Linked DNA regions of Notamacropus eugenii. The protein of the gene in region 1 interacts with the protein of each later gene in a biochemical or structural test. Links are inferred from orthologs where the notes say so. Each region holds a gene or a part of one and is shown in the gene's direction. Other genes may lie near its edges.

Region 1 (7,626 bases):
GTAGACAGAGTTTTCTTTTCCAAGGAAAAGAAAGTTGGCCAGTTTGGCTAAACAGTAGAATACCTTATTTTACCCCATAATCGTTGGTTTTTCGTTTGTTTTCAGTCCAAAAACTGGTTTATAAGCTTTCATCATGTAATCATCACATGGTATAATTCTGTTTGTCAAGATGCTTAAAAGGTAAACAGAGCAGAAATGTATTCACCTGTGGCATATGGATATTTATTTATCTCTTGCACATTGGGAGCCACAAGCCTAGAATTCTCAGTGCACGTGCATTGTCAGTATATTTCAGAAAGTCTATTTTTGCTGTTTGTTTAGAACACTGTAGCACTAAGGGTATAGTCACTCAACCCAATGAAGAGCCCTACGTGAAAGGGGAGTGGTTGGTCAGGCAAAACTGCCATGAGTAAGTCACATGATAGCTAAACTGTATAGTTCATCTGCCAACGATATATTAATGTGTGAAGCATTTCTTTCTGATTATGGGTTTAATCTTGCACCAAAAACAGTTTAATAATAAATGATTTTTAAGTAATACCAGCACAAATTTTTTAAAGCTTCACATAATGGTCACACCCCACTTTTTTTGCAAAAATATTTGGCATAAAATCTGCAACAATGATGTGGTAAAATACAGAACATGAAGCAGACTGGAATGTAATAAAACTGGAAAGGGCCAAGTTGTAAAGAACTTTAAATTCTAAACAGAGGGCTTTATATTTTATTCTAGAGATAACTGGGAGCTGCTAGTGCTTGTTTAGGACAGAAAAGTGATCTGATCTGATCTCTGCTTTGCGAAAATCATTTTGGGGGTAGTGGGGAGGATGGATTGAAGGGCGAGACAAGGCAGGAAGATCAGTTAAATTAATACTGCAGTGGTACAATTGAAAGGTCCTAAAGTAGTGTAGTGGTTATGCAAATGGAGAAAAGGAATGAAAGATATTGTAGAGAATGAAATGACAAAATTTGGCAACTTGTTGAATGTGTGGAGTAGGAAAAAGATGGCAATGAGTTTTCAAACCTAGGTGACTCTTAAAAAATACAATAAATTCAGAAGAAAGGTGCAGATAGGGTGATAATAAGTTCTGCTTAGGATATACTGAACTTAAGATGCCTATGGGACATCCAGTTCAAAATGTCCAATGAGCAGTTGGGGATGTGGGACTGGAGAGACTAGGGCCAGATAAACAGATCTAGAAATCATTTGCAAAAGGATGGTAATTGAACTAATGAGAGCTGAAGAGATCACCTAGTGAGAGATTATAAAGAGAAAGGAGGCCAAGACAGACCCTGGGGGAAAACCCATAGTCAGTGGGTGTGACCTGAATGAAGATCCAACCAAAGAGAAGTAGTCTGACTGGTAGATGTAGCTAGTAAGACTAGAATCATGAAAACTCAGACAGGCAAATTCATAAAAGCAAAAGACGATCCCACCCTAGAGGTACATGAGTTTGTCTAATGGGAGAGACAAACAATTACTTACAAACAAGGTATATACTGGATTAATAGGAATAATCAACTAGCAGCTAGATGGCTCAGTGGATGAAATGCAGGGGTCTGGGGTCCAGAAGACCTGATTTCAAATTTGGCTTTAGGCATCACTAGCTGTGTGACCCAGGGCTAGTCACTCAAGGAAAAGACAAACCACACCAATATCTTTACCAAGAAAACCCCACAGAAAGTAGGGTCCATGGGATCATGAAGAGTTAGACATACCTGAACAATTAAAAACAACACTAAAGAGAGGAAAGAATTAAGAGGGAGTGGGAAAGATGCCTATAGAATCCTTTTGGGATTTCAGCTGAGACTTAAAGGAAGCCAAGGGAGACAAGAGGCAGATGTGAGGAAGGAAGGACATTCCAGGCAAGGAGGACAGTCAGTGAAAATGGCCAGAGTCCAGGGATAGAACGTTTTGTTCAAGGAACAGTAAGAAGGCCAGTGTTACAGAGTACATAGTGGAGGAGAAGAAGGGGTGGAAGGGTAAGAGGTAAGGAGGTTGGAAAGGTCAGGGGACATTATGAAGTATTTTCAATGCCAGACAGGATTTTATATTTCATCCTGAAAGTGATAGGGAGTTACTGATGTGCTAGCAAATGTTTAACAACCAAGCTTTCTGAAAATACAAGCTGTAATTTTAATCTGCTTTTTTATAATTTTCTCCATCACTTTCTTAAGTCTAAATAATCAACAAAACAATAAGCCAAGGCCTGAGTGCAATGTTTGCTGATTTCTAAGGTTTAACTGCCTCACTGAAAATTTAACAAGTGGCTTCAGCATTCTCCTGAATCAGGGGTACATGTATGGAATTAGCCTTTGGAGGCAGAAAGGTTACCTCCTCCCTAGAGACTGTAGCGAAGGAGACAGTGGAAAATAATGTCAGCAACTATGCTGGTTGGGCCACAGCCTAATGTGGAAGTATGGGAATATCAGGGAGGAAAGAGGCTGGAACAGACGGCACGGCTGTGAGTCTTATGCTAGGATAATTTTTAAAAAAAAAGGAGGGGTGAGAAAGAGGGATGTACTGAGAGAAGGGGGAGGAGAAAAGTAGAATAGAGAAAAATTTCTCACATAAAACAGGCAAAAGTAAGAGCTTTTATAGGGGAGAGAGAAGGGGGGTGCAATGGCTGAACCTCTCTTGTCAGAGTTGGTTCAAAGAAGGAAGAATATATATACAGTTGTATATAAATGTAACTTATTCAATAGAGAAATAAGAGGAAAAGGGGATAAAAGATATAGGAGAGGGAGATGATAAAAGGGAGGCAAAACAGACTTTTGAGGAGGGACAAGATAGAAAGATAAGGATAAATGGAAGAAAACACGATGGAAGAGATACATAGCACTTGTAACTGTGAATGGGAATGGGATGAGCTAACCCATAATGGATCAGAAAACAGAATCCAACCATTTGTCCGGTTTATGAGAGATTTGAAATGTAAAGGCAACACAAAGTTAAAATAAAGGGCTGGAAGGGAATCTCTTATGCTTTAGCCGAAATAAATGAGGTGGGGTAGCAATCATGATCTCAAAGCAAAAGCCAAATAGACCTAATTAAGAGAAGAAATCTGGGAAACTCCATTTTCCTAAAAGGTACTATAAACAAGGATGTAAAAAAATGACAGCAAGTTTCTTTGATAAAGCTCTCATTTCCCAGACATATAGAGAAGGGAATCAAATGTATAAAATAAGAGCCATCCCCCAATTGATCAATTTTCATAAGAAGAAATCAAAGCTATCTATAGTCTTATAAAAAATGTTCTGAACCGCTATTGATCAGGGAAATGCGAAATAGAACAACTCTGGGGTAGCACTCCCTATCTCTCGGAAAGGACAAGTGATGTGGGAGATGAGGGAAAATAGGCACATGAAGGAGCTGCTGGTGGAGTGCTGAACTGGTCCAACCATCTGGAGCTGTGCCCAGGGAGCTACAAAACTGGGCATCCTCTGATCCGGTGCTAGGTCTGTATCCCAAAAAGATCACAGAGAAGGGAAAAAGCCCTGTCTGCACAGCAGCTCTTTTTGGGGGGGGTCGTCAGGCAGGAAAGGCTGAACAAGTGGTGGCACCGGATTGTGATGGAGCACTGCGGGGCTGCGGGAAATGAGGAGGGGGATGAGTGAGCACTGGGGGAGGATGGCACCGTGGCAGCGATGTTCTGATCCCATCGATCCAACCCCCGAGGCCATGCCGAAGGACTCCCGGTGAGAACATGCCACCCGTCTCCGGAGAGAACGGACGGACGCCGTGCCAACTGAAGCACCCTCCTCTCCCCTTATTTTAGTGGGGCATGGCTAATGCAGAAATGGTTTGCGTGATTTCTCACCAATATTGTTTGCTTATTCAGGGGGTAGAGGAGGGAGAGAATCTGGAGCTCAAAAGAATGTCAAAATAAATAATATTTTTTAAAAATGAAGGATTTTGTATTAAATTTTTTAGACGTGTTGTCTTAGATGCCAGCTGGGCATCCAAGTGGAAACATTCATCCGCTGGCAGTGGAGTCTGGGGGCCGCTGGGGAGGGCCGCTGCACGGAGGCGGTAACTGGAGACGGGGGAGTGGGTCAGATCTCCCGGAGTGTGGAGACTCGGCCTGGTGCAACGCCCGTGTTTACAAGGCCGGGGGCAGGAGGAGGAGGAGAAGGAGGAGGGGGAGGAGGGGGAGGAGGGGGAGGAGGGGGAGGAGCAGGGCCGAAGCTGACCGAGGGATCCTAGTCAGGTAGTTAGAAGACGATGCCGCGGAGCACCCAGACTGAGGGCTTGGGGCGAGTGCGTGCCTTTTCTGGGCCTCAGTTTCCTCGTCTGTAAAAAGGGGGGAGGGGAGGAACACTCGCAGGTCTAACCCTATGAAAGAAAGACGCGTGAGCAGAAGCGGGACAAATCTTGCTGCGTAAGAGCAAGACTGCTCCGACGGCGGGGTGGGGGCGGTCGGTGGCGAAGAAGGCAAGACGATTAGCGGGGAGGCCATGGCAACAGCGCAGGAGCCCGGCGCGGGCCCCGACGCAGGCAGCAGCAGCCCGGGCAGGCCGTTGTGCGCACGCGCCCCTGGCCCCCTCCCCCCGCCCCCCGCGCTTGGCAGCTGTGTCCGCGCGCAATCGGTTGGGGGTTGGGTGAGTGGGCCGCAGAGGAGTGGGGGGGGAGGAGAGGGGAGATGGAAGCACGCTAAACCCGCACCCCCCTCCCCAGCCCAGCTTCCCTTCTCCACCGCCTCCTCCGTAGCCCGCAGTGGGGGAGGAGAGCGAAGAGGGAAAGGAAGCGGGAGGGGTAGAGAGAGAGGAGCAGAGAGAAAGAAAGCAGGGCCTGGGCGGGGGCGGGAGGAGGAGCCTCGCCGCGGGGCGGGGGCCGCGAGCCTGTGCGCACGCGCGAGGGCCGCGGCGGTTGGGGAGGGCTCGAGAACCCTCTTCCGGAAGGTTCCGGAGGCTTCTGGAAAAGGCGCTGCTGAGGCGGGGAGTGCCCGACTCTATATAAGGGGCGGGCGGGGGCGGCCGCGCGCCAGTTTGCTGCTCTCCCGTCTCGCTGCCGGCTGAAGCCTTGGGGCTCCTGCTCTCTCTGCCAAGGTAAGGTTACCCCCCCCCCCCCCCCACCCCGGCGGGCCGCGGCTCCCGCAGCGTGGACCTGGGCGTGGGCTCACCTGCCCTTCCCGCAGCCGCGGCTCGGGGGACCGGGAGGAGGCGGGAAGCTGCCCCGGCTTCGGCGCCCCCGAGGGTGGGGGGGAGGCTCCTCCCTGGCTCCCTCCTTGCCCGAAGGGCCCTGGGGCCAGGTCTTGAGGCGCCCCCCCAATTTTCGTTCCCCCGCCGCTTTTACCCACCCTTCCCGAGAAGTGGACGAGGCGAGCGCCCCTAAAAAACCCGGGACTGGGAGAGGGGAAATAATGATGGGGGTTCGGCCCCCCCCATTCCGAGGAGGGTGCCTGGCGTGGGGGGGTGAGGAGCCCGTGGCGCGCCGGCGCCCCCGCCTGCCCCCGGGGCTGCTCTGCCCGGCGGGCGGGGCACCTGCGTCGGAGCCCGAGGGTGGGGGGGGCTGGGGGTACCCCCAAACTCAAATCTTCGTAAGCGAGTGGGGGATTTGAGACTTTGTGCACTGCCCGTTTTGCCCACCGATCTCCTTGGGCGATGCGTAAGGAGAGGGGCTTGGCGAGGCTAAGAAGAGCTTCGTAGGAGGCGTGCTGTGGGCCTCTTTCGTCGATTTTTTTTTAAACGTTTTCTTTTTCGATTCTAAGCCCCGTATGTTGTAAGCTCTGTGAAATGGGAAACTTAGTTTTTACCTTTTCCTCGCTATCCCCAGCGTCTAATTACCAATGCTTTAAACGTTACTCGTGTTGGGATTGAATAGGAGTGAATTTTTGAGCATCGTTTCAGAGTTCAGCTTTGTGCCTCAGTCCTCTGCCTTTGTAGAGGACGGCTTATCCTCTTAATGAGCTGAGCCTGGTGGCGTTAATCCGGCTACGGAGGTGGTGGTAGTCTCTTCAATAATTAAAGGATGAGAAGCAATTGAATCAGTCGGTGGCCCCGGTTTTTAAAGTGTTCCCCTTGAAGCATGAATTAACTCACATAATGACGTGATTCCAAGTGAATTAGTCTCATTTTTTTTCTACCGTAGCCCTAATTTTAGATCCATTAAATCTGTTAGGAACCCTCACGTAAAAACGGGTTGAAATTTTAAAAATCTTTAATTGATATTGCTTGACTAACTGATAACAATGTTCCATAGATGCCTGAGGAAACGCAGACCCAGGACCAACCCATGGAGGAGGAGGAAGTGGAGACTTTTGCCTTTCAGGCAGAAATTGCTCAGTTGATGTCTTTAATCATTAATACATTCTACTCTAATAAAGAGATCTTTCTGAGAGAGCTGATTTCAAATTCATCTGATGTAAGTTTTTTCTTTGTGTTACTGAAATTGAATTTAATTCCAGTATAGCTGTTTTAATTCATGATTAAAATTTTTAAACGTGTTTTTCTTGGTGTAGGCCCTGGACAAAATCAGGTATGAGAGTCTGACAGATCCAAGTAAACTAGACTCTGGGAAAGAGCTGAACATCAGCATCATTCCAAACAAAGATGATCGCACCCTAACCATTGTAGATACTGGTATTGGAATGACCAAAGCTGATTTAATCAACAATCTTGGTACAATAGCAAAGTCCGGAACCAAAGCTTTTATGGAAGCATTACAGGCTGGTGCAGATATCTCCATGATTGGTCAGTTTGGTGTTGGTTTTTATTCTGCCTATCTGGTGGCTGAGAAGGTGACGGTCATCACCAAACATAACGATGATGAACAGTATGCCTGGGAGTCTTCAGCAGGAGGGTCGTTCACCGTTAGGACTGATGTAGGTATGTGCATAGTGAGACCTCGCTTTTGTACAATTAAAGCATTTTCTATGCAGAGAGGGAGAGGGAAAGTATTTTGGTACAGTGGAAGAGGGAGGGAGTGGAAAGCCCCGTTTGAAACTGACCAGGGGCACAGTAACTACACATTATTCTCAGCTGTGAAATGAGGGCCTTGGTTGAGCTAGGTAGCTTTTGAATTTGCTTCTGGTTCTAGATACACAAGTTCCTATGAATGGTAGCCTGAGAAATAAAACCCAGGGTAGTTTTATAACATGAAAGAATAGGATATAGGCTCAACAAAATTAGTATAATTATTCTTTAAGAACTACCTTGATCTGTATAGTTCTTTATTGTAAGTTCAGCACTACTGCTTGTCATTTTAAACATAAAATGAGAAGGAAACATTTGTTAGAAAATTTGTAGTTAATCTTCAAAGATAAAATTACAATAAATAAGCATTCTGAGCATCACGTTGAATGAATTTCTTGGTTGAATAGAACTATGAGGTATTGTTTCAGAGGTATGGAAAGGATTTTCAAAAAATCATTAGTATTCTCTATTAAATTGGTTTCTTAGTTCCCATTTATGTTTGAGGTTAGAGATTTCAGATGAAATTACAAATCAGAGGAGTCTCCCACATATACTTTTTCCCTTTCCTCTTCTAGGTGAACCTATGGGTCGTGGAACAAAGGTAATTTTGCATTTGAAAGAGGACCAAACTGAGTACTTGGAGGAACGAAGAATAAAGGAAATTGTGAAGAAGCATTCGCAGTTTATTGGCTATCCAATTACACTTTTTGT
Region 2 (6,908 bases), on another chromosome or scaffold:
TTTGTGATTGTGAGTTTGTTTGAGAGCCTGCTTGTGATGAGTATAATGGACCTGGTTTGTGGGAAGCCTAGCAGGGGGATGGTTTGGGGATGGTGTTGTCCTCTACATTGTTATTGTGTATAAATTTTCATTGCTGTGATGGATTTGGGTCTGAATAAATGTTTTGTTTCTGCTTTCCACCTAGATAGTCTGTGGTATTTTGCTATTCTGAATTGCACTATGATATTCATGGCTGCCCTGGGTGCTGTGAATATTACATTTGCACTACAAATGGTCATGGGGATGGGATAATGAAATATCTGACCTCAATTTGGAGGCAAAAAGGCAGAGGAGTCAGAGGAACAAATGGACATCCCAGGGTGGGAGGATTTTTGTTCTGCCCCAGAAAGAGAATGTGCTAAGGGCACAGGACTTTGTGAAAACTGGGAACTGAGGCTACAGAAAGGAGAACCCAGAGAGTTGGAAATATATTTCCAGGGAATAACAAAGGCACCAGGGAAAGAAATGGCAGGGTTATGTAGGAGAGGCAGGGCTTTGCTAAGCTCTGGATGAAGGACTCCAGAAGATGGCTGGAACCTTATGTGCTAGGGTGTAGTGAGGGCTAGGGTGTAGTGAGGGCCAGGGAGACTCAGAAAAGAAAAAACCATTTTTGCCTCGAATTGTATGTATTAGAGACACTCTTGACACTAAGGTATCAAGTAAAATGTATTGCTGCAGAGTTCAGAGGAATTGATCATTTTGGCCAAAGTGGGCCCCCACCCTCTTTTCAGGAGGAGAGAGCACTGAATACAGAAGTGAAATGAACTATATACCATTAGTTCAAGACAAATACTCCCACCAGGAGATGGATGGGTCCATCCTCCCTTAGGTCAACCTCTTCTCTGCATGTCCATTATGTAACCCCCTTTAGTATGATTCCCCCTCCCAAACATGCTCTAACATGGGACCCATGATCAGAAAATGGAGGGATAATTTTATGCAGGGTGTGTCTGCTTAAGCATATGCATGAAGTTCATTAAGCAAATGCAGTAAAGAAAAGCCTTCTCTAGGTAACTCTAGGTCATTTTTCTTGGCTAGTTCCAGCTAGCTGTAGATTTGGTTCCTTTATCAAAAACTTTGTAATTTTCTGAAGGCCACTGTCCGATGGTCTTCTTATTATCTTATTCTCAATGACTTCATCAATTAACAATAACTTGTTGTGGAAACTTAACTTTCGCTGTCTCTCACAGTATGCAAATGCTGTGAGATGGGCTGCTGGAGGAGAAGGCTCAGATGGAAAGGGAATTGGCTGGAGAGAATTTTTGTCCAGCAGTGTTCGGGCTGCCCTTGGGAGAGGAAGCTGGAGAGTTTCCAGTGGTAGAAGAGAAGGTTGTTGTTGGTTTGTCTCACAGGAGGCGAAAAGTTAACAATAGGAAAGTGAAGGCAGCCCTTGTGCAGGCTGGATTTGATTCGGGCTTAAACACAGGCCAGGAGGATGTGTGGAAGGAGAATGAAACAAGTGAGGTGGCTGAAGTTGGGCCAGTATTAAGAAGGAAGCAGGGGAATCAGGGTTCCTCCACAATTACCTCCCCAAAGGTAGGTAGGAGGTAACTAAGGATTTTTCTCAGCAGGACGTCACAGATGTTTTGAGTTGGTTCACCCAAAAGATGAGAGAATCATTGGTACTTTGGATGGTGAGAATTAGTGAAAAAGATAGGTTTTCTGGAGACAGAGGAATGAATAGCCAGTGGATTCAAGGTCAGAGAGGATTGATAAGGAAAGAGTTTTGTTGCTCTGTTGAGAGCAGGAGTAGATTTTGGAAGAACAGATGGCATTCCAACTAATGAACTATATAAAATGTATCGTAGATAGAAGATTGGTTTTAGACTGAGCAAGGAGGTAGGAGCTGCCCCTGCAGATCATTCTGAAACATTGTATCCAGGTTCATCACACCTGTAGGGAGAATGGGGAGTTGGCCGGGTCCCAGCTCAGATTGAAGAGGGTGTACCTCTAGCCAGAATGATGACCCCGGGAATGCAAATTGGAAAACAGTAAGCAATAGTGAATGAGGCTATGATAATGGGTTCATGGACTCTAGTTTGAGCATAAGCACCCCCTTCATTCCCTCTCAGCAAATGCGGCCCAAAATCTTGGGGTAAGGGGCAAAAGTCTCTTCTTTCATAGCTACTTCCTGCTGAGATTGGCCATAAAGCTATCCCTGCCCCAAGCAGTCTCATTCTAGGGGCTGGCTAGAGACAGTAGGATAGGTGAATTTGTGCTTCATATACCTGTCAGAAGAGCTGAGCTCAGGATGGAGCTCCAAAGCAGAGGGGATTAACCACTCAAGACACAGTCTTTAGAAATCTGGTTACAAGGGTGCTGTGCCAGGGATGGTGTAGCAGAGTAGATGGTAACATAACCAAAATCAATAATGGCATTCAAGTGATGTGGAAATTATCTTGGGAATTCATAACCAACTGTAGGCTGGGCTAGAACACTTCTGACGTACTTTCCATATCAAATGTCTAGAATTCTTATTCAAATTTTCCCCTAGGAAAACATGGAGAATTTCAGAATACTTATTTCATTTTGAAAGTTCAAGAAATGCATCATATCTTGGTATTCATATCATTTCATATGCATACATTGTTTCTCCCCAGTGCATGGTATATTCCCTCAACAAAAGGGATAAATAAGTTTTTCAATTTTTTAGGTACTTAGTATAGTGTTCTGCTACCAGTTAGTGCTCAATAAATGTTTAAATTCATTCCATTAGTTATTTCATTATAAACAAAGCTTCTTATCCTGGAAAGAGAGACTAGTTTTCCACACTGACCACATAAGCTGGGCTGGTGGAATAGATAGGAGCAAAGAGAATGGGTGTGTCTATCTGGGTCTGAACAGTTGTTTGTCCTTAGAAGAAGACCAATGACATCATGGGGTGCTGTTTTGACTCCCGGTGTGAACTGAATTTAAGTGAGACAGGTTGCAAAGACAACAGCCTCGCTGTCTCTTCCAGTCATCAAAGTCCAGTGGCAAGAGGAAAGTTAAGATGACTGGAGATGGATGCAGTGGATAATCTTGATTCTTTGATACTTGAGCAATCTAAGCACCTGGTTCAGCTATCTTCATGGCCCTTGGACCAAATTGTTCTCATGGGCCCCTTCAGCCCTGGGAAGTCTTCATGTGCATGGGGTAGACACCCGCCCCTCCCAACTCACCAACCAGCTTGAGGCCTGTCACTTATCCTCAACTTGGTTTAGCCCATCTGCTGATGTGGCTGCTGAGCATGCTACAGCTTCTTGGAGATGCAGGTGAGAGTTGGTGAAGGTGGACATCAAACGTGAAGGAGCAGCCCAGAAAAGTCATCCGTCAGCCCTCACACCGAGGTGCTGGTCCTTCCTGAGCGCAGGTTTTACAAAGATAGTAAAGAATCAAGATAGAGGGAATATCAGCTGTAACAGGCAACATTTACGCCTGTTACAAAGTCACAGTAGGAAAGAGAATGTTGCAGAGGGAACTTTTTTCAGGTTTGGGATGGGCTAGGTGGAGCTTGGTGGCTCCTTTGAAGATTGAGATTCTTCGATTTTATCCCAGTGCTTAGCACAAAATGAGTGGCACATAGTAGGTGCTTAATAGATAGGTACTTAGTAGGTACTTAAGGACTCCCCCCTCCCCCAACATTGAATTAACAATGTTGAATTATCAAATATGGCTTCTCCCAGAAAGTGTAAATGAAAATTAACAATTGGGCTCCAGAATCCTTCCTGACACCTTCTAGTCTTTTCCCAGGCGCTGTTGTCCCTTTAAGAGCCCAGACGCCCCAAAGCCCCCTCCCCTTTTCCTCTTCCGCCTGCCTCTTCTCCCCGCCCCGCCCCGCTGCGGGCTGCAGCCCAGCTCGGGCTCCCCCGGGTTACCCTCCTCGCCCGGCCTCGCCGCTCCCAGCCGCCCCTTGGTCTGCCTCCGCGGCGGGCTCCTAGCCTGCTCTCTGGGTGGCAGCTGCAGCGCAGGCAGGTGCAGCAGCGGGAGGAGCGGCGGCGCCCACCCTCCCGGGCCCTCGCGCACCATGGCTTCCCGGCCCCCGGCCCCGCGCTCCTTGCTGGCCTCGGCGGCCTTCCGCCCGGTGCGCGAGGTGCTGCGGGACAGCTACCGGGATGTGCTGGGGCTGGCGGAGTTCGTGCAGCGCCTCGAGGACGAGGCGCGGACCGCGCGGGCTCCGGGGGACCGGCCGGACCAGCAGGTAGCCGTGCGGCTCCTGCGCAGCGGGGATCCCGAGGTCTTCCAGGTTTTTGTGTCCGGCTGTGTGGTGTGTGTGCCGTGGGGTGCCCGGCCCCTCCCCAGGCCTCTCACCTTCCGGCAGGTAATGCATGCATCCTTGCCAGGAGCCCTGGGGTGGGAGTATCGGACCGAAACTCGGGGCTTCCTCAGTGGCTGGCGGTTGGCGGGGGGCCTGCTCCTTTCTACCCACTCGACCAAGAGAGTATTTGGATTAAATACTCCAATTGTTTCAGGGAAGCAAGTCATTTAACACCTTGGGCTGCTCGGACTCTACCTTTCATTTCTCCATAGGTAATTTCCTGTTCCACTCCCCACTGAAGCATCTTCAGGCTGTCCTTAAGCTCCACATACCTTCCCTGCGGAAGTCACCTCTTACTTTCCACCTCTCTCTGTGATGAGATGAGCCCTTCCTGCCAAAGCCAGCCGTTCTACCTGTGCTCTTAGATTCCATTCCCCGGGTTTTTCTCTTATAGATTGCACCTTCCACCCCCTCCCCCCCATTCCTTAACCTTCAATCTCTCCCTATCTGTTGATTCCTTCCCTGTTGCTTTCAAATGTGCCCAAGGTTCCCCAATTCTTAAAGAACTCTCTGAACCTTATTATCTCCTCTAGCATTTAATTGCTCTATATCTCCTCTCCCGTTCTCAGCTAGACTCTTGGAAAAATCCTTCTACAGTCTTTTCTCATTCTCTTCTCGACCTTTGTAGTATGGCCTTGGATCCCATCACAGGGACTGAAATTGCTTTCTCTAAAGTTACCAGTGATCTCTTAATGACCAAATCTGGGGGCTTTCTTGACTCATCTTTTTTGACCTGTGTCATTGGACACTGTTGACTATCCTCCCGTCCCCAATTTTTGTAAAAAACACTCTGTCCTGGTTTTCCTCTTAACCTAACCACCATTCCTTCTCAGGATGCTTTGCTGGTTCTTCATCCTGGGCACGCCCCCTGTGTGGGTGTCTTCCAGAGCCATATTATGGGCCCTCTTCTCTCATTGGGTGACTCCATCATCTAGTAAAACGAAATATTCAAGTCCCAGCGTTTCTGTTGAATTCCATCGCTCCTTGCCTATTGGATGTTTCAGATTGGACGTCCCAGAGACATCTCAAGCTCATATCCAAAACAGAACTCATTACCTCTTCCCCAAAACCCACTCCTATTTCTGTTGAGGATACTACTATTCTTCTAGCATGTCAGGTTTATAACCTTAGCACCACACCACATATCCAATCACTTTCTAGGTCCCACCATTTCTACCTTTACAACCTCCTTCCATTTCTATTTACAAAGTTATCACTTCCTCCCTGAACCATTATGATAGCCTTATCTTTTATCTCCCTCCCTCATGTTTCTTTCCCTTTGCATGCGTTTTCCACACAGTCACCACAAAAGTGATTTTTTTATAAGCTCAGATCTGATCTTGGCACTCTCCTATTCAGTAAACTCTACGGGCTCTCTGGTACTTCCACCTTCCATTCTAGAACATGTAAACTCTTTTATGGAGCTTTTTAAGGCCTTTCACAACCTGGCCCCATCCTCATTATGCATTACTCCATTTGCCTGACTTTAGGGTGAAGCTTAACTAGACTTTTCTCTATTGTTTACACAAACATTCCATTTTCCTTCTCTGGGACTTTGAATTGGCCATTATCTTTCATGTCTGGAATGCACTCCTTCCTTACCTTTGTCTTGTACCATCCCTTATTTTTTTCGCAATGTGCCTTGAGCAGCATCCTGTTCAGGAAATCTTTCTGCTTTCTCCCAGCTGCTAATTTGTGAACTCATTCCCAAACTACCTTTTGTTTAATTGCTTTCTATTTATCGATATACTTAAATGTATAGGTTGTCTTACTCCCTGTAGAATACAAGGGAAAGGATTATGTCTCTCCATTAGAATGTGAGACCCTTGAAAGCAGGCTTTATATTTTGCCTTTCTATCCCCAGCATTGGCACATGGTTGGTGCCTTTAAAATGGTTGTTGATTGACTTATATTTTCTTTAATCTACTTTCAAGGGGATATGGTTCTAGTTTCTTCTAGCCTGGTGCCCTGCATATGGAAGAAACTTTAAAATGTTGTTGAATGTAGTTTTGAATTGGCTCTCTGCTTTGAGTAACATTGAGATGAATTTTGGTCCCAGGATCACCTTATGAATATTATTTAGAAAGTTGGAAAAAACTGCCATCAGCAATTTTGAATTTTTTTCTTTCTTTAGCTGTCTTCCCAGAAGGAAGTAGTTGCTAGAATTGTCCAGAGGATTTGTGAAAAGAAAAAAAAGAATATTCTGGCTTTTGGATACACCCTTTTAGAGGAAAATAGAATGCCATTGCCAGTTAAGTTTACCACAAACGTCTACAACTATCACCCTAACACAGTAACAGAAACAATTAGTGTCAGTGCCTTGTGGGAGATACTTTTAAGCAGGATAGGAGATGATGTGATGATGTATATGTTAGAGCACTGTTCCATTTTCATGATGGTACCCCCAACCTGCTCTTACCAGATCTCTGGGCTACCTATCTATGAACTCAATTTAAAAGATTCTGTCTCTCCATCTGGGTTCTTGCGAAAAAAATATCCGAAGGAGGAACCAAATGTCTCACTTGACAATGTCAGAAAGAAGATTTCCTTCCAGAAAAAATCCTCAGTCAAA

Evidence for each region. The genes of interacting proteins can lie anywhere in the genome.
Region 2: the proteins of HSP90AA1 (region 1) and TERT form a complex in vitro, tested with the Homo sapiens proteins (2 studies listed by BioGRID). The link is inferred for Notamacropus eugenii from reciprocal best matches to the Homo sapiens genes HSP90AA1 and TERT.

Annotation. Positions count from the first base shown.
Region 1 is NC_092872.1:351,894,500-351,902,125, forward strand, and holds the start of HSP90AA1 (heat shock protein HSP 90-alpha), read left to right. Parts: upstream 1-4,539; 5' UTR 4,540-5,049; intron 5,050-6,202; coding exon 6,203-6,364; intron 6,365-6,461; coding exon 6,462-6,828; intron 6,829-7,490; coding exon 7,491-7,624; intron 7,625-7,626. UniProt on the Homo sapiens protein: Molecular chaperone that promotes the maturation, structural maintenance and proper regulation of specific target proteins involved for instance in cell cycle control and signal transduction.
Region 2 is NC_092875.1:345,754,024-345,760,931, reverse strand, and holds the start of TERT (telomerase reverse transcriptase), read left to right. Parts: upstream 1-3,821; 5' UTR 3,822-4,045; coding exon 4,046-4,339; intron 4,340-6,470; coding exon 6,471-6,908. UniProt on the Homo sapiens protein: Telomerase is a ribonucleoprotein enzyme essential for the replication of chromosome termini in most eukaryotes. Active in progenitor and cancer cells. Inactive, or very low activity, in normal somatic cells.